Drosophila melanogaster: one gene and its partner. The protein of the gene in region 1 purifies or fractionates together with the protein of each later gene. This does not show direct contact. Each region holds a gene or a part of one and is shown on either strand. Other genes may lie near its edges.

The links. The genes of interacting proteins can lie anywhere in the genome.
Region 2: the proteins of RpL27 (region 1) and vig2 fractionate together in Drosophila melanogaster (co-fractionation; one study listed by BioGRID). This does not show direct contact.

Annotation. Positions count from the first base shown.
Region 1 is NT_033777.3:25,682,558-25,687,546, forward strand, and holds RpL27 (ribosomal protein L27), read right to left. Parts: upstream 2,495-4,989; 5' UTR 2,402-2,494; intron 1,960-2,401; 5' UTR 1,946-1,959; coding exon 1,538-1,945; 3' UTR 1,066-1,537; downstream 1-1,065. Other genes in the region: Idh3g (isocitrate dehydrogenase (NAD(+)) 3 non-catalytic subunit gamma), read left to right, coding at 501-531; CLS (cardiolipin synthase), read right to left, coding at 2,828-2,943, 3,010-3,145, 3,211-3,426, 3,758-4,258.
Region 2 is NT_033777.3:25,121,008-25,126,768, reverse strand, and holds vig2 (vig2), read right to left. Parts: upstream 3,397-5,761; 5' UTR 3,371-3,396; coding exon 3,290-3,370; exon of another isoform or gene 3,138-3,289; coding exon 2,654-3,137; intron 2,180-2,653; coding exon 1,413-2,179; 3' UTR 1,271-1,412; downstream 1-1,270. Other genes in the region: Mocs2B (molybdenum cofactor synthesis 2B), read left to right, coding at 1-202, 327-602, 667-935, 995-1,117; CG31510 (uncharacterized protein), read left to right, coding at 5,740-5,761.

The DNA of each region.
Region 1 (4,989 bases):
CTGTCGCGATGGGCCCAGCGTAGGCGGGCCTTCTTGTATTATAATTTCATGCTGTTATTGTATTATTTTAATTACTTACTGATTACTTCAGCAGAACTGTAAGTGTTATTGCCGAATTGGCCTAACTGTGTCCTAACCAACCAGCACACCACAGACTTCACTTAATCACTAACTTTTTGGTTGCCTTATATCTTTTAGTTTTAAGTACTTCTTCTTGGGTGACACATGCTCGATTGTCACCTATAAGAGGCTACTTAAAATTTGTTTATATAAATTGGACTTATGTTTAGCAATTGCTTCGTTGAACTATTTTCTATTGTATATTTGTCCTAAGTAGTGCCCCAGTAGAACACACTACCACACACATTCAGTACACACAAGTATGTAGTATTTTCGTTTTGAACGTGTAACCAAATTGTCCTTGTGCAGCTCTAATGAACAAAATTATTCTGTTTTTTCTCCTCTCCCTGAAAATCCAAAAACGCTTTACCGCTCCGCAGGCCACATGGAAACTATTTTAGCCAAATTTAGGCACTATCGCACTACCGAATTCAACCAACTGCTAACAAATTCAGCAAGATAAACCAAATCGAACCAAGTCTAATACAAAAAAAAAAAAAGTCAAAATTTTATTAACCCCACAACTAAGCCAATTTGAGACATCTTGTACCCCAAAGCCAATGCATTCAGCGTTAATGTGATGCCCAGAAAAATCGGTATAATCAAATCGAGGTTGAATTATTCCGCTGCTTAACCCAAACAAAATATGTTACCCCGGCTAAATGTCCATTGTGTGTTCATTCGATGTCCAAGTGTGATAATTCAGGTAATACAAACTCCAAATATTTTTTAGCTTCATTTATCCCCAGGTTCGATTGATAAGATTCTAATCCAGTTTTATCTTATATTCCACAGATTTTCTTGCCGGCCCTATCCAATGTTTTTGCACTCTGAATCTTTCTTTTAAACTCCCTACTGAAAGCTGTATATTTTCTTTTATTTTACTTAATTTCCAAAATACCCTAAGGCAACAGTTCATGAACAACAAGAATAACACACTTTGAGCTCTTCAAAAGCCAAGCAAGTTCCACAAGTAGTCAATCAAAGCGATATTAAATTGTAAATTTTCCAAAAGATTTGTAATATTGAAAAGTTGATTCAAACAAAATGTATTATTCTGTTCGAATATTTATTAGTAAAGGAAAAAGTAAAAAAGACACTGTAACTATTATGTTTTGGATTCGGGCGGTTAAGGCTATGGAATTTGCACTATATTTTAAAATGATCCAGAAGCGAATTTGATATTTTGCCTTATATTTTGAAATTTGTTGATGACTTGGGTCCAAATACCTCTTGTACACTTCCTACTCAAAGTATTCTATATACTTTCATCACCATAGGCACGTTTGTCCCACTTGCACACTTAATAAGAAGGCACAGGATCCACTTCGGTCAGTTTTATCAGAATTACTTCTTTGTTTATTAAACCTTAAAAAAGAGCGACAAATCCAGTAACCACAAGTAGCGAATGGGCAGCTTAGAAACGCAGCTTCTGGAAGAACCACTTGTTCTTGCCCTCCTTGTAGACGGACTCGAACTTGACGCGGGTCTGGAAGCGGTGCGTCTTGCGCTTTACGGGATCCTTCAGGTCCTTGGGCGACAGCTTCTCAAAGCTGATGTCGTGCGCCGTGTAGCGGGTGGGCATCAGATGATTGTAGTTCAGGCTCTTCAGGAAGGGCTTGACCTTGGACTTCTTCTTCAGCTTGTTCTTGCCCATCTTCTTGGTCACCTTGCGCGGGTAGCGATCGATACCGGCGACGAGGGCGTGTCCGAAGGGCTTCTCCGGGGTTCCATCGTCGTGGGTCTTGACGATGATGGCCTTGCGACCGGCGTAACGTCCGCTAAGGACGATTACGATCTTGCCCTGCTTCATGATTTTCCTCATCTTGGCGGTTTGCTCTGTAAATTAAGGGAAAAACGTTAGTAAAATCGTCAGATCTCAAAACATTATTTAATAACTATTTGGCGGCAGAGTTTATAACATCATCTGCAAGTAAACCAAAATAGGTTTTTAAAGCAACACGTTTTTGGTCATTGTGTGCTTGGTATTGTAGTATTAGTTTGCCGGATGTCTTGAATTCACTTATTATCTGTTAACACACATAATATATTCAAACTGGCATACACAAATCATATGCAACTCAGAAGTCATAGTCGGCTAAACCATGTGGTAAGTTATAACCAGATATTGTTTTTTTCATAGAAGAGATGGGAGGCAGAGCCACCATAGAATCTTTTTTTTCTGCTCTACGGGACTAAAACCGTATTTTTCCTCCTTTTAAAATCATTATCCATTTTGAGGGGGCATAGCCTGTACATTGCACGCCACTCGCATTCCTACCGCAGCGTAGAAATTTATATTTTGGCTAAAATTTAACAAAATTTACACGCGGAACACACCACTCACCGGAAACGGGCGAAAAGAAAAGAAGGGGAGATTTTAGAGATGGCAAAACGTCGTCTTTTTATCGATACTTAGTGGCAACATTTCCGGTATTTTTGAGGCGGTCACTCTACCATATGGCTGTGTTTCCTACTATCTGGTCACACTGGCACAAGTATTTTTTTTTATCACAATTTTAAATTTTCCCTTTGTAAATTCATAACATCATATAATTGTGGAAAAACACTTAAAATTTATTAACAAAATAGATTTTTTTAAATTTAATATGTTAATCATTTAGAAAACATGGTACATACTAATCATTGCTTAAGGAGAGATACTACTCCTTCATAGTACTCAGATATTTAGCGGAAATGCCCGGCCCTACGTCTTTTTTTGGATAATCTTAAAGGTATTATGCCGATTCATGACGTAGCTGAGGGCAGTGGCAGCCGTAGTCAGGCCAGTCAGATACCAAAGTCCCTGCAAAGCTGGGTGATCTGGAATGGGATGATACAGAATTGATTAATCCATCAGTAGTGATAAAAGTGTTTGCTGTATCTCACCCAAATAGTTCCAAATGGGAGCTCCCAGGCTCAGTCCAATGGTGGCCAACTGGACGCCCGTGTTGATCTTGCTGAGCAGCGTGGGCTCCAGTTGGGCAGTAACATGGGTGGCGTCGAAGTAGCGCGAAAAGGTTTTCTGCCGAGGAAAGGTAAATGATTATAAACAAATGCCACAAAAATGTAGGTAAATCCTTCACTTACCGGCGGTGGCAGACTTATGTAGCGTATAACAAATCCAGCTCCTAGAAGAAAGACATCCCGGAACACCACGATGCCCATGAGCCACATGGGCAGCAGGTCCGTGTAGCACAGCGAGATGACCAGCGAGCCCATCAGCAACTTATCAGCCATGGGGTCCAGGAAGGAACCGAACTTGCTCGCCTGCGAAGGCCACCGTCGTGCGATCTGTCCATCCAACTAAAGAAACAGGAAAAAACAAATGTCATTACCAAGAAAGTTTCAATGTTTCAAATTTATCTAAGTATCTTACAGGAATTAAACGTGTGTGTGTTATTTAGATACACGAACTATTTTTGGTTTCGTCTGGGCAATTCGGGTAAAAAATTCAAGAGTATGTATAGATATTTTGGTTCTAAAAAGTACTATAAATGTAGAGGAAAACAAAACACAGACCGGGCAGAAAACAAGACAATAAATAATGCATTAGATCACACCACATCATGTTTTCAGCATTTCTTAAATACTAGAGGATCTATTCCGTTGAAAATGGTGGTCCTGGGAAACTCACCAGATCTGTGATGCCGGCGAACGCTAGAAGGCTCATGCCCAGGGTGAAATCGCCCTGGACTATAACATATCCGATGTAGGGTGAGAGGACGGCACGACTGATGGTCAGCATGTTGGGTATGGTCATAATGTTCTCTCGCTCTTCGCGTATCTCGTCGATCTTCTCGCGCACCCGCTCCTGGACTTTGTGCCTGGCCTCCCGGATGTCATCCACCAGGAAGTTCTTCCTTTCGATGACACCCTGCAGGAGATGGCGTCCCTGCAAGGTGCGCAAATGGAGCGACTGCTTCTTCTCATCGGCATAGAGGCGAAGTCTGGCTAACTCGTAGTTCCTGCGCCGCTTAATGTCCAGAAACGAGATCCGAATGAATCCCGTGGCGGCCGCATAGCGATTCAGGCAGTTCACGAAGCTGCTTCCGCCGACTCCCAAAACGTGCTCCAATGTGGCGGCTCCATGGTGCAGTGGGCGCTGCACCTGCCGGAAAATGATGGCGGGCAGCATAGGTTAATTGACGTTCGATCCCTGTCTCAAGTCCAGACTCTTTCGCGAGCACTGTAATCACACAAAATGCCCAATCAGTTTCAATTTATTGAGATTCGTAACCTTGGTTCCAAATTGATCGACCACCGACCCTTGGCCATCTGTTATCACCAGCTCAAACACGCACCATTGGTCGGAAATCCTTGTTCACTGATGGCACCTGAGTGCAGTACGAAATCTGAATTCTTATTCGATTACAAGTTACTGCCCTGCATTTACGGAAATTTTTAATTCAATTTTTGTTTTTATTACACAAGCCGTCTCCGATAACACTGTTGATACGGCGACAGCACTATCGATTTCAGCGATTGCAATAGACAAAATGTGCCAAAATATGCTAACTAAATATACCAAAACTACCAAACCAACATAGAGCGGTTTTTTTGAAATGCTTACCTTATATAAGAAAGTGTATACTATTCAATTGTGATTGCAAAATGAAATGACGTTTCTTTTATTCAAATGTTTATAAAATTATATGCAATACTGAGGTCATAGGAATGAGAGATAAAAAACTTATAATTCAAAAGTAATTGTGCGTCAATGAGATTTATCGCCAACATAAAACACAAAGGACCCTATATTCTATTGTATATGAGTTTCTCGGACGAGAAAAACTTTATAGTTAACATATCCTGTTTATGCTGGATAGTTCTTAATAATGGAAAATACGAAACTTTTTCTTGTTTAAG
Region 2 (5,761 bases), 560 kb from region 1:
ATATATCATCGATTGGGAACAGTGCCCGTATGCGAAGCCAGTGTAGTTATAGCCGCCTCGTCACCACATCGTTCTGAGGCCTTAGAATCAGTATCTTTTGCAATAGACCAGCTAAAAACTCGGGTTCCCATCTGGAAAAAGGAAATCTACGACGGCGATAACGACAGCGAATGGAAGGAGAACAAGGAGTCCATCAGGCCTAGTAAGATCTTATGAGTAGCCAGCATGACATGTATTCTTATTATTTGTACACTTGTAAATATAATTAACAATCGAGCGTTTACGATTTTATTGGCTTCTCTCTCATCTGTGCATGTACATTGTAGAGAAATCGAAAAGTGGCTTCAACTACGCCGCTTGTCCCTGCAAAGTTGAGGAGTCACATGACGTCCCGCGAACTCTGGTGCAAATTAGAGTTAATGACGCTGAGTTAACCAAGCGTTTAGAATGTTTTGTCAACAGAAAACGAGACGAAATAAACTCACAAAATGTAATTGACTTCAAATCGTCTTTTGTCAGCTCAGACCAAAACTTGAGCGATTCCTGCGCTCGAACGCAGAGCACAATTATTAAGCAGGAGCAGTCAAATTGCCATTTAAAAGGTGGGTAAACGATGCTCTATTTTCATAACTATAGCCACTTTGGTCTACAAACAACCTATCACAGTCCGACGAGTAAACAACCGATGCGGACCTCAGCAAATGGAAATGCGACCCAACTACGAACTCGAACTGAATAAACTAATGGGATCGCGTGACGGTCAAACGGATCCAACCAAAGAAATGAGGAAATCGCTACCCAATTCACGACTACAGGCAATTGAATCGTACATGGGTCTAACCACCGACAACGAGGAAAACATTTTCAGTAGAATCAAACGAGTGGAAAATAGACTGCTGCAACTGGAGTCCATTTCGCCCGAGTACAGACACTTCGTAGGTTCTTAAAACATTTCCTGTAATTGCAGTTCTAAAAAAATTCAATCTATTCTCAGACCAAACGTGAACCGTCATCTATGGAAGCCGCGCCGCCGAAGAAGAGCCGAAAGAAATCGTATTCGGCGCAAGAATTAAGTGCATTCATTCAAAAGATTAAGGATGGCAGCGAATTAAGCTAATAAAAACCTAATTAATTATTATTCCTTGGTTTGTAATTGATGTAAATTTATTTCAACATTCCAACTATTTGTAATAGTTTTTTTTATGCGTAAATGATGAGAGTGAAAAATGCAAAAATTTTTGTTTACAACTAAGGAATATGGATAAGCGTGGCTGATTTGTTTCTGTTTATTAATCGGTCGTCAAGCTTCATAGATCGCGCCCGAAAATCTAATGGTTATTTGTTAACCGAAGGACCAGCTTACTAATTATTTAATACGCGAAATTATTAAATCTTATTGTTGTTCTCAACTCCTAGCACAGAGTGGGGAATTGAGCTTCATCGTCAACCTTCAGTGGCTTCTGGGCGGAGCGGCGTTTCTCTCCGAATCTGTTGTTGTCTTGTCTGTTTTCATAGCCGTTGCTGGGTCCGTTGTTAAAGCGGGGACCACGGAATCCCTCTCCACGCGGTCCGTCATTGCGGTAGCCTTCTCCACGCGGTCCCTCATTGCGTGGACCCTCTCCGCGAGGTCCGTCGTTGCGATAACCACCTTCTCCGCGAGGTCCGTCATTGCGATAGCCACCTTCTCCGCGAGGTCCGTCATTGCGGAAGCCACCCTCGCGAGGACCGGCTCCGGGGCGAGGTCCCTTGCGGAATCCGACCTTGCGTCCATCATTGAAGTTGAACTGGATGTCCACGATGCGCTGAAGGCGGCCCACGCGCTGAGGATACAGCGATGGATCATACTCCAACTCGTCTTCGCTGTTGCTCTCCTTCTTCTTGCTCAGCACGATCATCTTCTTCCACTCGGCATTGTCGGCGGCTCCCTCGCCCGCTTTGCGCAAATTGTAGTTGGGCTTGGCACGCTGGTCTCTCAAAGCCTTCCACTCGTCAAGGGTCATCTGCTTGGACTCATCCTCTTCGGCGGCGACCGCGGGATCAGCCGACTGTTCGTTGGCCGAGTCCTCCTTTTCCGCCTGCGGTGAGGTCTCCCCGGTCGTCTTTAAGTCCTCAATGTCCTGCTTCGGGGAGCCCCAGTTGTGGGCACCACCGCCTTCGCGCTTGTCAATTGACTTGACGCCTGTGGAGAATAAATCAGCTATTAATAGGCTTCAATCGATATGAGTAAAGAGGATTTTCGGGAAAATGTTTGCCGTATAAGACAAATTAAAAGTTTAACCAAACGAATTTTATATTTTCGGTAACGAATTAATAAATTAATAAATTATAAGATCAAAAATCAAAAAAATCAAACAAAAAAATGTCCAAGAAAACACATGTGTGAACACACGAGTTTGCAACGCAGTAATTTCATTATTTCATCATTTAAAATTAATATTTACAAACACGTTTTCAAACGTTTTGCGTATTACAAATGCCTAAAAGTCACGTGAGAAATACGCGATATGTAATCAATCTTGTTGCCAAGGGTTGCGTTTTCTCTATATTTTGCAGCATGCCGCCATTACAGGGCAGCATTTTCCACGCAGAAAAAACGGATTCACTTGAGAAGCAAACACGAAAACCAAGGACAGAAGAATCTAGACATAATTACCAGTTCTATCGGATCCCGACTGGCGATCGAACTCGCGCTTTCCGAACTTCTCGCCGGTACGGACGCGTGGTGGTCCCCTGTTGTCACGATTGTTGAATTGACGCTGCGGCAACTCGTTTCCGAATTCTCCGTTCGACTCCTTATTTCCGTAGCGTTGGTTGTTGTTGAACCTGCCCTGGTTGTTGGCACCGTTTGCTGTTGGGTTCTTGGGACGACCCACATCCCCGCCAGCGGGACCCTTGCCGCCTTTCACTGGACTAGCGTTTTTAGCCACCGGAGCGTTGGCCTTGCGGGCAGCCACAACCGGCTTGTTCTCCTTCTCCGACTTGCTCTTTGGTGCCTTTGGCGCCTTTGCCGGTTCCGGCTTCTTGGGCGCCGCGACTACAGCGGCAATCTGTGGCTGTGCGAGCCCAGAGGAGTCATCGTCGTCCATGAACAACAGCTCGTAGCGGTTATTTCCAGAATTGTCCATGATGTAAAATTTCTACGGATTAAAATTGAACCAGATTTGAGAGTTACTTTGGTCCCAATGGCGACGATATGCTTTGCTGTTAACTTATAGGCACATGGCCGGCCTAGAGTTCAAACAAAGTGATAATCGCTTAAAATTGCGAAAACGCGGAGCAACTTACGCACCACGCCGGAAACGAAAGTGAAGGTAGAAACATCGATTGCAGGAAACATAAGGGCCACGATATGTTTCTCCGCTAATTGCATTTCGACAATCGATAGTTGCCGGTTCAATATCAGTATATATCTGTAAAAATTAAAATATATAATTTATATTTTCTGAACAATGGTTGGTTTTTGAAAAGGGATTTGATAATTTACAGCCTTAAATAAACCATATATGTATATTTACAATAATTTAGGAAAAGTTATACCTTAAAAATGTATAACAAATTTAAACTATTTTGAAGGTGTTGCAATTTTATTAATATAACCAAATATTATTATAAATGTTTAACCGATAGATACCAAATGGTGAGTAACGAGCAACTGTACAGAATAATGGTAATTATCGATTGTTTTGAAATAACGTAAAATGTGAATGGTAATTATTGATTTCCATATTTATAATAATTCACTCTATATCAAAAAATTTCACATTATATTTAAATTTCCATTTCATAAATAATACCGAAATGTACTCAATCGATTAATCGATTGCAGGTAGAGGTCACTACCAGCTCTAGCAGTCGGCCCATCGCCAGAAGGAGAACAACTTTTGGGCCCGTAGAGACAAATGTGACATTTGTTTCTTTGATGCGTTGCCATCGAAATTCTCTGTCCTCTTCGGCCTGATGCAAGTAATAAATTTAAGTAAAGGCAAATTATCCTTGTAATTGAAAGCGAGTCCATCGTGAATTGTGGCCATTGCGTACCGAACCGCGAGAGAGCAGACGAGCGAAGCAGCGACTGTCATCGAATTGGAATATTGGAAGCGACGAAGAGGAGAGGGATATCGAGCACCCAATAGCCCCCATCCACATTTACGTCCAACGGGCCCCCAAGTATTTGCAAGTGGTTAGAGGGCCGCGTTTGCGTTTCGCCGGTGAGTCCTCAAATAAGATACAATCCACACATATCCATTTCGATAATATTCATAAGTTATTCATAAGGCTAAGTCTAAGTGTGTGTGTTTCAGTTGGTTTCCCCATTTCCTCATGTGAACGCGGGACATGCATAAACAAAAAAATCAATATCTTCGCCTGCTATATGCAGTTCTTGTGAATTTCGTTTGTTTGTTTTTTTTTTTTTTGGAGCTTGGGGATTTTACTGTTCTCTAAATGGATTTTACCTTGACCTCTTCAGCTGCGCAAAACTGGCTTTGGCAGGCATGTTTTTGAAAGTTTTTAAGTGAGAAAACCAATTTGCTTTAAAAACTTGCCAAAAATATCGTGATGTCATTTACGGACTTTTTTGTTCTACCTTTTTTGGAGCTGTGTCGCGCAGAAATCGACAATATTATCATATTCGGTCAGGCAATGCGGCTCCTATTGCTTTTATGCATATGTCGACTTTTGGTTTTTATCCGAGTTTTCCAGGGGTGGTTCTACCCCTTCTCATAGATAACGTCTGGCCTAACTGTTACTTTTGCACCCTCAGTAGGTATGTTCCTTATATGGTAGCGTATCACAAATGGAAACAAGTGATGTGAAACATTTCATACACTTGGTAGAAATGTAGCATGGATCTTGGATTTCCGGCTGTAAAAGAAGGATACATTCACATAAAACCTTCTACTCAGCAAAAAAAGGGGCTTGTTCTGCAAAAAAAGCAGTTGACTAATCTCAGGCATCAGCAAGAATTATGCCCTTTGGACAGGTACTTTTTAAAGAATGTGTATTTAATTACAAATACAAAGCTGATTTACTATATATGAGTAATTTAACATCATTATCGATTTCAACTTTTTATGAAAGTGGAGTCAAGATGCGAGTTTACCATATCGAATGAATTTTAAAAAGCATCTATTTGCTGATCTAAAAAAGAAAATATTAACTTTTTAATATGCGACATTTATATTTTTGTTTTACCCGCATAGTATGCTAAATTCAAGCAAAGGCAACAGAAACCCTGCTTTTTGACTACATAACGCTTCAATTAAGTTCAATGCTTTTCATAACCGAGTTAAGGAGCTGACATTGTATTTCAATAAGTTCCACTAGTTATGGCATAGTCCTCTTTTGCTGGGTCATAATTTTAGCGCATGTAGTCATATAATTGTATTGCCGAAAGAAATAGACGTCATGAAAGGCCAGGACTGTATAATTCCTATAAATGTAATCGCATATTCCTAAATTTTTACCGACTTTTCTAATTTGAACTGTATGCCGTAGTCTAAGAAATTTAGTATTTACTGATTTCGTAGATCAATAGAAAATCAGCTTAATAGAGTAAGACTAACTTTTTGTTATTACTGCTTAAATTCTATATAAAAAACATTTTTTCCTTCAATTTTATAGCATCTCAATATCTGAAATCAAAAGAAAAATCAAATTTGTATCAAAACCGAAAGAAAAATTAACTTTCTCCGAGCCACATGAAAACTGTTTAATGTTTAAAGGTATTACAACCACAAAATGAATACCAAAAACATTGAAA